Linked DNA regions of Caenorhabditis elegans. The protein of the gene in region 2 interacts with the protein of the main gene of each other region in a pairwise test. Each region holds a gene or a part of one and is shown on either strand. Other genes may lie near its edges.

What was found. Proteins that work in one complex are often made in the same cells at the same time.
Region 1: the proteins of C14F11.4 (region 2) and lec-3 interact in a two-hybrid assay, tested with the Caenorhabditis elegans proteins (one large-scale study listed by BioGRID).

Annotation. Positions count from the first base shown.
Region 1 is NC_003280.10:9,987,424-9,995,006, reverse strand, and holds the start of lec-3 (Galectin), read right to left. Parts: upstream 3,848-7,583; coding exon 3,768-3,847; intron 3,645-3,767; exon of another isoform or gene 3,639-3,644; coding exon 3,578-3,638; intron 2,751-3,577; exon of another isoform or gene 2,670-2,750; intron 2,553-2,669; exon of another isoform or gene 2,432-2,552; intron 1,388-2,431; exon of another isoform or gene 1,074-1,387; coding exon of another isoform or gene 1,041-1,073; intron 865-1,040; exon of another isoform or gene 732-864; coding exon 643-731; intron 589-642; coding exon 501-588; intron 22-500; coding exon of another isoform or gene 1-21. UniProt on the Caenorhabditis elegans protein: Binds galactose.
Region 2 is NC_003284.9:6,229,511-6,236,852, reverse strand, and holds C14F11.4 (AIP3 domain-containing protein), read left to right. Parts: upstream 1-3,804; 5' UTR 3,805-3,880; coding exon 3,881-3,943; intron 3,944-4,155; coding exon 4,156-4,278; intron 4,279-4,324; coding exon 4,325-4,393; intron 4,394-4,492; coding exon 4,493-4,597; intron 4,598-4,641; coding exon 4,642-4,785; intron 4,786-4,833; coding exon 4,834-4,926; intron 4,927-4,970; coding exon 4,971-5,101; intron 5,102-5,235; coding exon 5,236-5,525; intron 5,526-5,589; coding exon 5,590-5,726; 3' UTR 5,727-5,947; downstream 5,948-7,342. Other genes in the region: hsp-43 (SHSP domain-containing protein), read left to right, coding at 1,337-1,462, 1,917-1,991, 2,041-2,627, 2,677-2,783, 2,918-2,992, 3,256-3,345, 3,405-3,526; lite-1 (High-energy light unresponsive protein 1), read left to right, coding at 6,152-6,227.

The DNA of each region.
Region 1 (7,583 bases), on a different chromosome or scaffold from region 2:
CTGCCACTTTTCGAATATGATCTGGAAACGGAGTGAGTGTGTGTGTGTGTGTGTGGGATCACCTGACACAGATTCACTGTCTATTTGAGTGAGTGAAGGGCAAGGCAATGAGCACGGATCAATCATTTTCTCGGCTCACCACCATCATCCCTCACACATGCCGAAAGGGTAAACATCATCAAAAAGAAATCAAGAAAAAGAAGCTTGAAGGAAGTAAGAAGAAACGGGAAAATGTGAAGCCAAAAGCAAGCCAATTTCCTGATGTCTGAAAGCTAGAGCTTCTGGGTCCCATTGGGCTCCCTCTATTCATGTCACCCCGGTTAAACCCATTATGTGGATGGAGAAGATGGAAAGAAGCGCCAATTTTTTATAGCTCATACGCTTGATCGAGCCTTATGTATATCTCGGGCGGAAACTTTGTTTTTTCTGTGTGTTTATGTATGTGTTTTAATGGTTTTAGTTCCTATAATAGTCAGAAGCTCGAACATCAAATGACCTACCTTTCCCTCGTCGAAACGGATGGAAAGATGAAGAGGCACGTCGTTGCCGGAGAAATCTGGAGAATCCTTGTGGAGATTAATGTTGAACCTGCAAGTTTCTTCGGGTTAGAATTCGAATGAATATTGTCAAAATCTCGATTACCTCTTGGACTCATCGATAGTCTTTCCACGAATGATCAGAGTTTGTCCGGGCTCGATGCGCTCGGTGAGCTTGGAACGGTATGGGATGTTCTGAAATAATACGAAATATTAACTTGAGTTGTTGGAATTTGTTTTTGAGCTATTCCCGAAATTCTCGGTTTCACAAAAAACATCGGGAGCCACTCAAAAACTTGATGGTTAGATTGGACATCACTGGTTGAAATTTAAACTGAAAAACTGAAAAAAAGAGAAACTGAAACTGACTGAACTGACACAAAACTGGACAAACTAGAACTAAAGTTCACTGCAAGAAAAAGCACTGCACAGAATTTCAGATTTTCACGGTCCTACAAGAAGACGATGAAAATCTGCACCCAGAACCCCCAATAAAAGTCCTACGATATATTTGGCACAGTGCCAAACCGACGGCATATCATCTCCAATCGTTTCGTAGCAAGTTCCCAGTGGGTAGCACGATGAGGTGCTCGTCGAGCAAGAGCTGGATGTCGAGCAACTCGGCAGACACGGCGGCTGCTCTTTTTGGTTCTTTTTCTGATATTGCTGAAGCCACGTTTTGGGACTCAGTTGACCATGGTCACCAAGTCCCAAATTAAGATTCTTGATCGACAACAGTTTGGCGGATTAGACGAAGGGAGCTTCGGGTAGAAGATAGAACAAGTGGGGGTGACAAAGTGAAGCAGCAACTAGGCTTCAAGAGTAGATGCTGGGGCGGGCGGTGGCTCAACGAAGGGAAGGGAGCCACCAAAATGTGGGCGTGGCCTATTTCTCAAGGGGAAGAGGCTACTATTGTTTTGACACTTGGCCACTTGCCAGCTGGATTGAAGTTGGAAAACGAAAGAAAAATACACATAAAGTGTGATGTGACTTTTTGTTGAAAAAAACGTTTTTTGGAAAGTTGAGTTGAGAGTAAAGTTCTCATGTCAACTTTCATGAATCTTGGCAGAATACAGCTATACGTCACTATTTGTGGCGCAAAGTTCAAAAGTTTAAATCAGCTACCAACTAGGTTCAAAATGTTCATGGCGTTAGAGCAAGATAGAAGAAAGTTATGTAAGTTGTTCATAAATTATATTATCCAGTTGTGTAACAATCCGATTTTTTGAGGCAAAATAACGGTAAATGGTCTCGACGCGATCGAAAAATTTTCACTTGCGCATTTAAAGAGTTCGTTCCGCAATTTTTATCGACTTTGCTCTTAAAATTTGGCAGTTAAGGAGAAAATAGCATTAAGAACAGGAAGCCGAAACTATTAAACTTTTAATGACGCATATTCCATTGCTCAGAAAATTTTCAGTCGTGTCGAGGCGTAATTTTTGACCAAAAATGAAATTGTTTCGCAACTTGGTAATAGGCAGTTGCTAACAATCATGGGGTTCGTTTGTGATTATTAATAATAGTTCAAAAACTGTTTCCAGATTTCCAAATGCCCGCTGCAAAAACCTAGTTCATGCTCATGGGCTAATAAATATAAAATTATTCAATTCCAACAAATTCTCACTTTTTCTTGTTGCCAATAGAGCGCAGATTCTGCCACCCACAATGAAAAACTGACACTAATCTTGAAATAGGAGAAAATAAACAAAAAGAAGAGGGGGAAATCCTCCTTGTCTTTTCTTTTCCTGCTCAATTTTTCTCTGCCTGATATTGGATTACACCCGGAATTTCCGTTTCGCATCTGATTTTGACTTTGTTGCAACAAGTTGCACACACACACACCGGATTAAAGCCTAAAGTTTCCCGGAGCACAGAGCATAAAACAATTTGTCTACGTCAAATAAATTTTTGGAGAAAAAGAAAAATGAGCATGAATCAAAGGGTAAACTAACAAAAGGGGGAGTGAGAAATCTAAGCGAGTAAGAGAGCAAAAGGACATAAAATGTTTATGGAAATAAGGGGAGGCGGATGTGTATGTCTATCTGTGTCAGTTTTGGCTTCAGTTAAAAAAAGAAAAGTTGAAGCAAAAATATTTGAATTAATTTGAATTTCCACCGACTCAATTGTACTTTTTCTGCAAAAGAGGGGGAAGATTGTGCTAACGGTTCGTGCACATAAAGGCTTTTAGATTTATGACGTGGTTCCTATGAGCCCCGGGTCACATAACCTAACAAGAGGAGGATAAGCTCCTATGGGAGCTCGGCTCGAACTAAAAATAGCAACTTGAACTGGGAAGTGGATATTTTGAGAAAAAAAAGTTTAAAATGAAGTGAAGATTTGTTTGAAAGTGGAGAATATTAGAATGTATGGAGGGTGTAAACATCGCATAGCATGTTTTTTTTTCCAATTACAGTTCATATTCTATTTGCAGCTTTTTGTTCTACTTTGACAGCGAAATAAGTATTCCAGCACAAAACAAACTTTGAAGCTCATATATCTCCCTAAAAATATCACTGAAATTTTTATAATTTCACAATCAGACAAAAAAAAACATGTTTTCAATTTACAATGTGTTCTTTGTAACTTCTTTACAATTCATAAGCTAGCTGAAATTTCTTCTTATTACTCCCATTCTTTCTATTTACATAATTTCCAGAAATGCTTCAAGCGTACATTTTCAGACCAAGCTTTCTCCACTTATGAAAATTCAATCTTTGATGTCCTTTTTACCACCACCCCCACACTAAATTACAATTGTCTCTTGTTCGAGCACATAAAAAGCTCCATCGTGCTTCTTCAAGATTCAAACCTCAATTTTATGGTTCACCAAGTCGGCTATTTGTGTTAATAAGGGGGTGGCATTTCCGAGAAGACTGTAATGGGGTAGAACAGAACAACACGCAATGTTTTTTGTGTTAGAATTTCCAAATTAGGAGGAAACTGTCATTTTTGAAACTCAAAAATGAAACAAAAAACAGAATCACATGCACACAAAAAAAACAAAAACCGGAAAGATTGCATGATCGAAAAAAAAAACTTACGAAGGATTTCGGCTCGGCCATGATGATCTCTCGAAGATAAACGGGGAGTCGAACGGTGGTCCTGAAAAAATTGGGAATTGAAATATTTTATGATATTTTTCATAGCTGTTAAGGAAAGTGAGAAGTTGTACAGAAGTTGGAAAATTACATAATTATTTGCTCTAAAAAATTTTCGTTTGTACCAACATACCCATGACCTCTCTTTTTCTTTACAGTACCATTAGTAGTAGGTTCTGTAACTGCTAGACTTTTCGATCTTCGTCGAAACATTTTTATAGGAGAGAATAGTTCAAATTTGGCGATGTTCTCCCCTATGTGAGATGTACAATATTTGTGTTGGTTTTGAAGAAGAGGTTATGGCTACGCTGGTATCAAAACTATATTTGAACATCATAAACGTTTTCGAAAGAGTTTCGAGAACTAAAAGGAAGATTAAACAATCCGAGGTTTTGTGTGAAGAAAAATAGTATATATTTGATTGAATTGTTACAGAGAATGGAAGGAAGAAAGAATGTGATAGATTGTAGAAAAAGAATAGGCGGGAAATAAAAGTGTGAGTCATGGAATTATGGGAATGAATTCCCGTGGATCGTTTTGGATGCAGGGAAAATTATAAATGATTTGATTTGGTTGGTTGCGAGAAATGTTATAAAATTATACCAGTTGTTGGAATCTGAATTTTTCATGCAAAAAATGATTTTGGAAGTTGTCAATTTGTCAGAAAGCGGCTGAACCGTAGCTCGAACTATTTTCGATTAGTTTTAAGGTTTTAAAACAGGGATAAAGTGTTATCAAGACTATTACTTCTGAGAATCTGTATGACTTGGAGTTTTACGAGAAATCCTTATTGGGAAAATTTGACAAAGTGGGCATAAAGATTGAGCTTCTAAATTAATCAAGTGAAACAAACTACAAAAAAAAACAAAAATATATAAAATTGAACAACCAAAACTCACATAATTCCAACTAAATTCAAGTTAACACCGACAAGAGTCGAAATATCAGAAACAACACAAGAAATAAAAATCAATCAAAACTGATAAATTGTGAGGTTAACAGGTGGCGAGGGGTTTTTCCCACTGCTGCTGATCTTTTTTATTTACTTCCCGCACGTTTCATTTTTTTGAACTCAGAGACAAAAATTATTGGGTGTGGAAAATGAGATACGCAGGAGGGATAAGGAGAGAGTTGGACAAATAATTATATGTCATTAGATTTTGAAATTAATTTGGATTTCGAAAGTGATTTGGAAAACCTACGTTTTTTTTAGGCAGAGTTAGTATGCTCACGCTAGTAGAAGTGCTTGCTGGAACCATGGTTTACAGTTTAAAAGAAGTGAAAAAATTTCAAAAAGTTTTTACTTTAAACAAAAACGCAATCATCCAGATTGCCGCAAAAAATACAATGTACAGCTTTTTTTACACAAACAATTTTTTCAGAAAAATCCAGATGCAAATTTGCAAGAGAACTGTAAAAACTGCACATTTCAGTCACTATTTATACCAACTGTATACATATAGTTGGTGAGAAGAAAAGAGAAAGACAAAAAATATATATACAACATAATGTATCTTCTCACTTTTTTTGCAATTTCTTTCCTAGCTACTACTCCACCTCTTCCTCCTACTCTTCTATCCTTGCTCTCCGATCACTCATTTGCCTCTTTTTCATGCTTTTCTTTTCCATCACTCAAAAATTTCAAAAAAAAAAACGTTAACGAAGAACATATGACTCAATTGAGGTCTTGGATAGTGAGTGAGAAAAGATATCCGATATGTTGCAGTTGTCGTTTTTTTTTTTCTTTTAGGTTTTAATTTCTAAAGGAAAAAACTCTTACGTTTTTCACATTTTTCGATGTTTCTGAATTTTAAAAACTAGAGTGTGATAGTAGAATTTCAGCGGGAAGGTTGAAAATGAACAATAGAAAAGAAAAATAATTGAATGTGATTAACAGAAAAAGAAAGAAAAATACATAAAAACCAAGTATAAGCATTTTGAGACAATGACTCACTACAACTTATTTATTATTTTCTATTCCAATATTTTGAAATTTAGTAGATTTTTTTTTCCGAATTTTAAAATAAACAACAATCAGGGATCGACTTTTGCTATTTGGCCTCGAAAAAAACTCGGTCATCGATTTATATTTGATATTTTATTCTTAAACTTGAAGATCTTTCAAAATTTTAAAAATTTTGGCCGAGCCGATTCAAGGAAGGAGTCTATCTAATTGGCATTTTGCCAAATTTGAAAAAAAAAACGGTGAAAATTTCCAACGGTTTCAATTCAGTAAAATCTAGAAATTTGGAACTGAATCTAAAAAATTCAAAATCCTGTTTCTGGAAATTGAGGTGACGTTGAGAAGTTAAAATTACTAAAAAATTCGCACAGTCGTAAAATGACAAAGAAAACGGAACACACTCAACATGTTCAGTGTCATCGGTTTCTTGAAAAAAGCCTAGCAGTATAAGTGTCACTTTTGCCAACTATTTCCAACATTTCAAAAAGCAGAAGAAGCAGAAAAGCTCATAAAATTCCGACGAAAACTCGCTTCAGAACGACAAAATAGGCCCCCCATGTTTCACATAAATATTTTCAGGGCGTTTCGTGCCTGAAAACCGGTTTTTTCGATTTTTCGGGGCCGGTGGCATTGGTGGTCGCCGACGTAACTATTTTATCAGTTTTTGTGTAAAGGGGTACTTAGATTGTAGGTACTTATATTGGTTGATTTTCTTGATTGAAAGTGGCATTTTCTATTTTACTTTCAAACTGCAAGAGACCACACAAAAAAATAGGGAAATCGCAGAGAATGAGCTAGAATTCCATACGGCAATCCATGTAAAATTGAGGCAATGCAAATTTTCATATACGTTTCGACGCGTTGGCACTCAATTGAAATGATGAAAAAGTGGAGAGATGAGAGAGAATCCGGAAGAGAGAAATGAAAACATCAACAATAATAAATAATGATGAGGGTGGAGGATTACGCAGATTTGTAAGCGCAAATCATGAAAAATAAAAGTTGAAAATTTACGTTATCTTGTCATGCGGTGCAAAGAGAGTTGAAAAAAGTGAAAATTAGAATTTTAGATATCAAATACCGAACTAAATTACTAGAGACTCTAGAGCTTAAGATTTCAAGCAAAAAATCACCAAATATTCTTTGAAAAAATAAAGCTTTCAAGCGTTTCAAGCTTCAAGTCTTGAAAGACTAAATTTATAACAACTTTATAGTAATAATAAGTAGTCTGATTTCTTTTATATTGTAAAGGATTCACTTTTACAATCAAAAATTGCAGTTTTCGAAGAAACAAAAATTTAATGAGCACGGTAAATTTCGACCACGGAACTTCTATTTCAATAAATAAATTCCAATGTTAGATCAAAAAAGTTCACAACCAGCCTCTCCTAGTATCTAATGAAAAACGATGCTTCACCACACCGCTATTTGGCACAATGCCGAAGTACGAGGTGTGCGCATCAAATAATAAAGGGGGAGAGAAAAAATCGAGAAACACAACGGGGGCAAATAGAAAAAAGTATACAAACATGTACATATTTTGGGTTAGTCGCCGAAAAAATGAGAGAGAGCGAAAAAACCTAACAAATGACAGAGGATTGGTACCGAGAGTGAAAATATAATATTGAGGAGGGTGATGTTGGTTTCGGCGATATTAAAAATTACAAAAAAGGGGGAAAATTGAGAGGTGGAGAGTAGAACTAGTGGAAAAAGTTTTAGTAAATAACCTGAAAAAGAAATTGGACTAGGGCGGTCATGTTGGCGAAAATTACGCCAGCCCCGTGCCTACATGACCCGGGCACCAAGAAGCGAGAACTGTGCAATCATCGGAAACTGAGATCAATAGGCGATTGGTAGGTACGGCGGTAGGCAAGAATGTAAATCAAAAACGCGTTCATTCCAGATAAAAAAATTTTACCGCAATGCCCATTCCAATTTCTAAACAACAATGAAACAGTTCTGAGATGCTACTCAAAGAAAATAGGT
Region 2 (7,342 bases):
TTACAGTATTGGTTTAGCAAAAACCACGGAAAATGCGTCGAATGGATTAAAATTGCTTTTTCCCCGTTTTTTCTCCCAAAATCAAGCGTGGGCTGAGTGACAGAAAAATTATTCAGAATTTTTTAGAGTGCAGTGCGGAAATGATTTATGGTGCTTCAAAAAGAATTATAGGCAGAATGATTGAAAAATAGGAAAAAGTCAATTTTCGTTTCTCACAGAACAAACTATGAATGGATATTCAATCTCAACCAATTTTTTTGCAGTAAACGCAGTCAACCAGTTTCAAAAATTCCTCTAATGCGAAAAAATGTAATGTATTTCAATATCGTTTATGACAACACATAGAATGACTGTTCAGAGCGTTCCAAAAAAACTTCTGTAGGCGTTGTTCTATTAGACAAATGAGACCAAAAATGGTTCATAAAAAGCCGGTTTCGAAATATTTTCGAAATAATTGCAAAACTGTTGGAATAGTCCAGAAAGGGCGTATTCCAATCCATGTGATCACCCTATCCCTTTTTTCTTGTCGTCGTTCCTCCACTGATTAAATATCACATTGATCATCATCGTCCAACGTGAAGAAAAGGCGGGAGCGACAAAATGGAACTGCCTATGCCTCTCTCTGTCAATTGGTTCTGACTCATCTGAAATAGGGTAACTTTGACCGGCGGCCAACGCCCTTCTCTTTTCAAAATGGGTATATAACAACGCCAATGTCAATCGAATATTCAGAGCACACGACTCAGCTGTCATATTTTTTTGAGAAAAAGTGTTTTTATCTGAAATTTTCAATTTTCCGTTTTCAAACTTAAGTGACCCCTTCCGGTGAACTTTTTTGCCAACCGTCTTTGATGATTTCCATTCCGACCTCCGGTGCCCCCAAAATAACAGTGTTGACAGAGAAACACAGTCAACATTGGCAGACCTCCTTTTGATTGCGCCCCTCTTTTCGCATTCTAACTCTGTTCACGTGGTATTTACCAAAAAAGTCGTCGGTGGGGTCGGCGAAGATTCGAGACGAAGGTGAGAGCGGTTAAAACCACGCCCAAAACTCTCCAACCTTTCCATGCAAGACAGAACTTATAAAAGCTTGCAAGATTTGTGTTCCGGCTTTTAGAGGTTTTCACTTTTTGTTCACCGATTCTTAACTTCCATTAAAAATTAAAACTATGATAGCGCACATTGTGTGACATTGTGTTTTGGAACAAAGGTTAATAGTTATTAGGTTTTATGTTAAACTGTGTGTTTTTGTACTTCATCGTTTCATTGCTGCCGTTCCCCATAACCGGAATAACAATTATTATTTTACAGAAGTACCACACCCCCAGTTCAAAAAATGACTCTTGCAACCCGTCATGCCGATTTCACTCGTGACAAACTCTGGAAAGAGAACGACCTGTGGCTCGACGATTTCCGTGATTGGCCTCTTGATTGGCCAAAACCAAGGGACTTTTTCCACCGGGTATCCAATTCATTGGGGGCGGCTTATTAGTTTCCGATAGTCAATTGTTAGAAATAGGCATAGGGGGCTATTCATCCGCGACCTACCTCTACACGCTCTTCACTCTGGCTACTATTATATTTTGCCAGGCGTTTTACTGTTCAAATCCGGTCGTCGTCGTTGGTCTACTTGACAGCCCTACTCGAATTTACGTACATATACACCATTAAGAGAGTCAAATCTCACTGCTTTCCCCTTCTTGGTTTATTTGTTCCATGCCAACTGAAATTTGGCAGTTTTCACCAGTTTCCCCTAAATTTTCCTCAAATTCGAATGCTCTCTCCTTTTCAATCTGAACAAACATTTTGTTTTTTTTATCATTTGAAAAAAAAGTGAAAAGAGAGGAAATCGGCAGCCAATTTCTCCATCGATGAATCAGAATATTTTGTGAATCATTTTTTTTTTTGCATTTCAGTTCTCCCGTGACGTCGACAGTTGGTGGAAGGATTGGCCAACCGATTGGCCCCGTATGGACGCCGTCATGCCAAGAGTAATAATTCAAATCGCATGAACAGAAACACATCGAAACTTTTTTGCAGTTTTCCAGTCAACTTGATCGCATGGATCGCAACTGGAGGAGTGATCCATACTGGATGAATCTCTACCCAAGATGGGCTGAGCCAATCTTCAAGGAGGGAATTGACGTAAACTCCAATGTGGTTAATGATGATCGTAGATTTGCCGTTGACATGGATTGCTATCAATTCCGTCCTGAAGAAATTCAAGTGAAAACTCTTGATGATACTCTGATGATTGAGGGAAGACATGAGGATATTCGTGATAAAGATAACTTCACCAAAATGTACTTTGTCAGAAAGTACCAACTTCCAAGAGACGTAGACTTCAACTCGATTCAAAGTAGTATTGATGCCAAAGGACGTCTTCAAGTTGAGGCTGGAAAATTCAACAACATGGCATTGCAAGGTCGCGAGCGTATGATCCCAATCGAAGGAGCCGGGCACCATTCACCAAGATTTGAAAATGGAACACTCCGTTCGCAACGAGGACCAAACTCGCCAATTCATGTCCAGACTGAGCACGACGGGAGGAGCGTGTCTAGCAGAAGTGGATCGCGATTGAATGATAGTCCAGGATCGAGAGACGTGTATTCTTCTCATTCTTACAGGTAATCCTACAGATAATGATAGTGAGTATCTGAAAATAAAAATTTTCAGCTACCACCGCAGCGACTCTCGCAATCGTCTCTCCCCAAATGATGTTAACATCACTAGAAATGACAACCGAACATATAGCCCAGTCACTCCTCGTATCACAACAAGTGGTAAGTTTTTGAAAATACATAGTTAATTCAAATTTTCCAACTTTCCAAAACACTGCTTTCTGTCGTGTTCTCTTTCCACATTTCATTTTTCTTTCTATTTCTCTTTTCTATCTAGATCCCATAATTACCTTCAGAGCGGACAGTAACACCGGAACAGCGGTCGCCGGGTCGAAAAGCGTTCGAAACCATTCGAAACAATTTTGAGCGAGGTCATTTTTGCAATTTCGCACATCGCGTTTCTCTTTTTTAGTTAATTTACACACATTTCACACGAATTACTTCCCACTTCCCTCATCACAATTAGAGTAAACTTCCAACAGTTTACTGACAATACTTTGGATTTTCTCATCAATCACAAATTAACTACAACATTAACATGTTGCGCCTTTGGTCAAAAATGATCGTTAATGACACATTATTTGTTGAAAACTTGGATTTTGAAAATTCGAAAGTTTTAAAATTGGAATTTTAGGGTCATATAATACTGCTGGAAATGCAAATCTTCACGAGGAGCGTTCAAGCTCTCGCGCTCAGTCTCATCGCTCAGAAAGTCGCAATGGAGGTGAGTTTTCGCTATACATTGAGGGTTCTTCAATCAACTGAAGTGGTAAAATTTTTCAGGATACCGGGTCGAGTCACCAGTGAGCACTACAACTGGAATTCTTCGTAATGGAAACTCGGACTCACCAAACTCAACTCAACGCGAGTACCGATCAATTCAAATTCTCCGCAAGACATATTAATTGGACCAAAAACCTTATGCTTTTACTCATACCCGTTCTCCTTCAAAACTTCACAAAATTCTGCCTACAGCTTTTAAAACAAAACAATATATTTTCTGATGCTTCCATATACTCTATTCACAGCTTTTCCACTTTCAAATGTACACCTACTATTATACATAAACATTTATGCTTTTTGTTTACTAATTTTTAGTACGATTTTGTTGGTTTCAAATCTAGAACTTGAGGTGAGAAAAATATGATGATATAGAAAAGATGAAAAGAAAAATGATGGAGCCACAAAAAAAAACAACAAAATACAATCATTTCTCACTTTGATAATACAATCCATTCGACGCTTCTTTTCTATCGATCATGTCCCGTTATCCACCGCTGGTCACCAAAAAAGAAATCATCTACCGGCGTTTTATTGATGATGTGAGTTTAGTCTTAAAAACTAAAGAAGTTATTATTAAAATCGAATTAAAAACAACGATAATTTTCAGATATATATATATATATATATATATATATATTTAAAATGCAATTTAGAATAATAACTTTTTGATAATTGATTGCAAAAATTAAATTTTGACGAAAATTCTAAAACTCCAGTTATTCAAAGTACCAGAAACAATTTTTATTTGTAGCATAATGAACGTTTCGACAATATCGTGAGAAACCCTACATCATATCCTCCAAGAGCTCCAAAACCAGAACGTCCGCAAAATTTGGTTGTAAGTCACAACTATCACTCTGACGTGGAAGCTGAGGTGAGCATTACTCTGCAAAAAATTTGTTTCAACATTTTTGTTTCAGTACCAACTCTCAAAAATCAACAAAAAGTTGGATCGTATTATTGAAATTCTTCGGAGCCCATCGACCAAGGTATGTGCACAAACACAGTTGTATTGTTCTTGCACTAAACCGTCCGAAATGCTTACTTTTTATTCTTTCTTTCTTCTTTTTTTGAAACTTTTCATTCAGAAAACTTCCCAAGAGCCTCCAATCATTGACGTCGCACGCCAGGAGCAAACACGTCAATACAAGGATATTTGCGATAGGCTCGACAAATTGGAGGCTGAGTTAACTGTAAACATACATTGGAAAACAAACCAGAATACCAGATGTTTTAGGGTAAAACTCAGTTTGTTGCGCCTCTCCAAAATGAAATTTCATTATTGACAAATAAAGTTCACGAATTGGCCCAAATACAAGAGGGTTTAAGAGTGAAGCTAGTTTCGAGCAACATTGCAGGAGAAGACATCGATGAACTTTTGGTATGAAAGATGTTAAAAGGAAATCTTCAAAAAAAAACTTTTTTTCAGAAAGTCATCAATGAGACCAGAAGAGATATGGAAGAGAAAATTGGGAATATCAAGCAACTGAGTGACGGAAATTACATTCACCTGGAAGATAAAGTATGCCAAATCATATAGAACCCAACCATAAAACTTGTTTCCAGCTTGATGGATATCTTCGCAACCAGCATGGCATTCAACTCCAGGTAGACCATCTAATGCAGCTTCTGACTCATAGCTCTCGTCCGGCATCTGCTATTGGCTCAAGACCCGGTTCAGCTGCGGAAAAGATGAGGTAAATGATTGAATATATGCATTTATATGTACATATAGGTAACTCCTTATCTATAAAAAAGTTGATTTTATTTAAATTCCAAAATCCATATGTCGCATACCTCTGATCACCACCATGACACAAAATGTTTTTAGTAGTGTTTCCCGCTCATCGTCAAAAAGTTCAAACTTGAAAGCCAACCTTGTCATGCCAACTCGTCGTTCTCCACCACCGAAAACCCCAAGTGAAGCTAGCTACGCATCGACTCGCCCAAAAACTGAGCGTTCGTCATCTCACAAATCGGCAAGCACGGTCACATCATCTGCAACTATCACAACATTGGACAGTGCCAAAAGAAAGCCTCTCGCAAAAAATGCTTCACCAAAGCCACCAAGAAGTCCGGTGTTAGAAGTTTTGGAAAGAACAAAAAGTATTGAAACTATGAGTAAGTTTGAATTTTTTTAAATTTAGTTAAAGAGTTTAGAATAATTTATTTAAACCATTTCCAGATGAAATTCACACTTCTCAAAAGCTCGACGAATTGGCCATCGAAACATCATCTTCTGGCAGTTACATCGCTCCTCTACCCATCAACGGACGTCGTGATTCTCAACCAGCTAACATTTTGCTAACGCAGAAATATTAGGATATTAAATAATGATTGTTTTTTGCAAATGCTTTGGGATATGGGGTATTTCAATCAATTTTTCTAACCTCCGATAACTTTATTTTTTGTCGTCACAACTATATATTGACGCATGCTAGCTTCACATTATACACATGAATTGTCATCATTGCATAGCTACCGTAATATTGAATTCTAATTTTAAAGCTAATGAAGAAAATCAAACGACGCGTTAAATGAAATAGGGCGCACCAAAAAACAAGGGTCGAGTCAGAGTGAACTTTGCTCACAAAATTGGAAAATTCGGGAGCAGAATCAGTTTGAGACTGGCGGGACCTTTCGGAAGAAAAGGCGGTGCAAACATTGAGGTCATCATTCTAGAAAGCGTTTCTTTCGAAAAAAAGTCACAAGAAGACAACTCATTGTCAATTCTCGTAAAAAACAACATGCCACCACCATCATCACATTCAAACATTTTTCATTCGACGTTCAAGCACACCGTTAAAGAAACAATGGCAAATGGTAGGTCATAAATGTGCCCCTTGGCTACAGAGTTATAGACATACTTCTTGAAGTATAATATGTTCCTCGGCCATGCAATATTGGAACAGTGTTGAATTTCATTATTTTGTTTTCCTGAAATCACTTGTTTCATAATAGTTTGCCAATATAACGCTCTGATGTATTCTGGTAGTACCATAAGTAGGAACAGTTCCGAATGTGAGTTTTAAAATAAAAAATCGCAGACAACATTAACGTGAAAAACACTTCCAATCAAGAATGACGAAACCTGATACATTCCTCTTAAAAAGTGTCATCCTCTTCAATTTCGATGTGTCTCGAGATTTTCAATTGTTTCAAAATAGGACTATTATCTGTCACGAGTTTCATTTAAATAATTTACTGCGTACTGCTTAGCTCAAAATGTATTTATCTAAACGATCATGTAAGTTTCACGATTGACAATTATACAGTCCAGTGGAAGTTTGTGACACTCCAAATTTTTGGTTTGATAAAAGTTTGAATGCAAGATAAATGTAAATCTCAGAAAACACAATCTTAATTTTTTGTTATGTCTGAAAAGAAACTGATAATAATTTTGACACAAAATCATCAAGTCATTCATTTTCACGTTTTAACAAGGCTGTCGTTTTCTCAATTTTTTCCACAACTTAGATGGTCTCTTTGAACTTGCAAACACACGGGATAATTTTTTTATTACAAAAAAACGTAGAAGTGTTTCTTGTATTATGTTCACATGCAGTCTATCGGTGCACAAAAGTTATAAAACTTTTGCACCTGCGAAGTGAATTTGCAAAGTGAATTTTTCAAAGCTTTTGAATGAGGGGTATGTTAGATGTTTTTCAAGAAGTAAAGCATTTGACCTCGCTATTTGTGTGTGTGTTTTTTTTATATTATTTTGCGTTGCTTTTTGCGTTTACATGTGCTGAAACTTTAGAAACTACGTTTTAAACAGTGATATTCAGTCATAAAAGTTATTATATAAAAGAAGTTTACAAAACGTCTACAGAAAATACATGAACATTTTATTGATAAACACAAAAGACCAGGACAATGCGGAACTTATTTTTAGATATTCCTTGCAGTTAGCTTTTTTGATAATTTACTTAAAAATT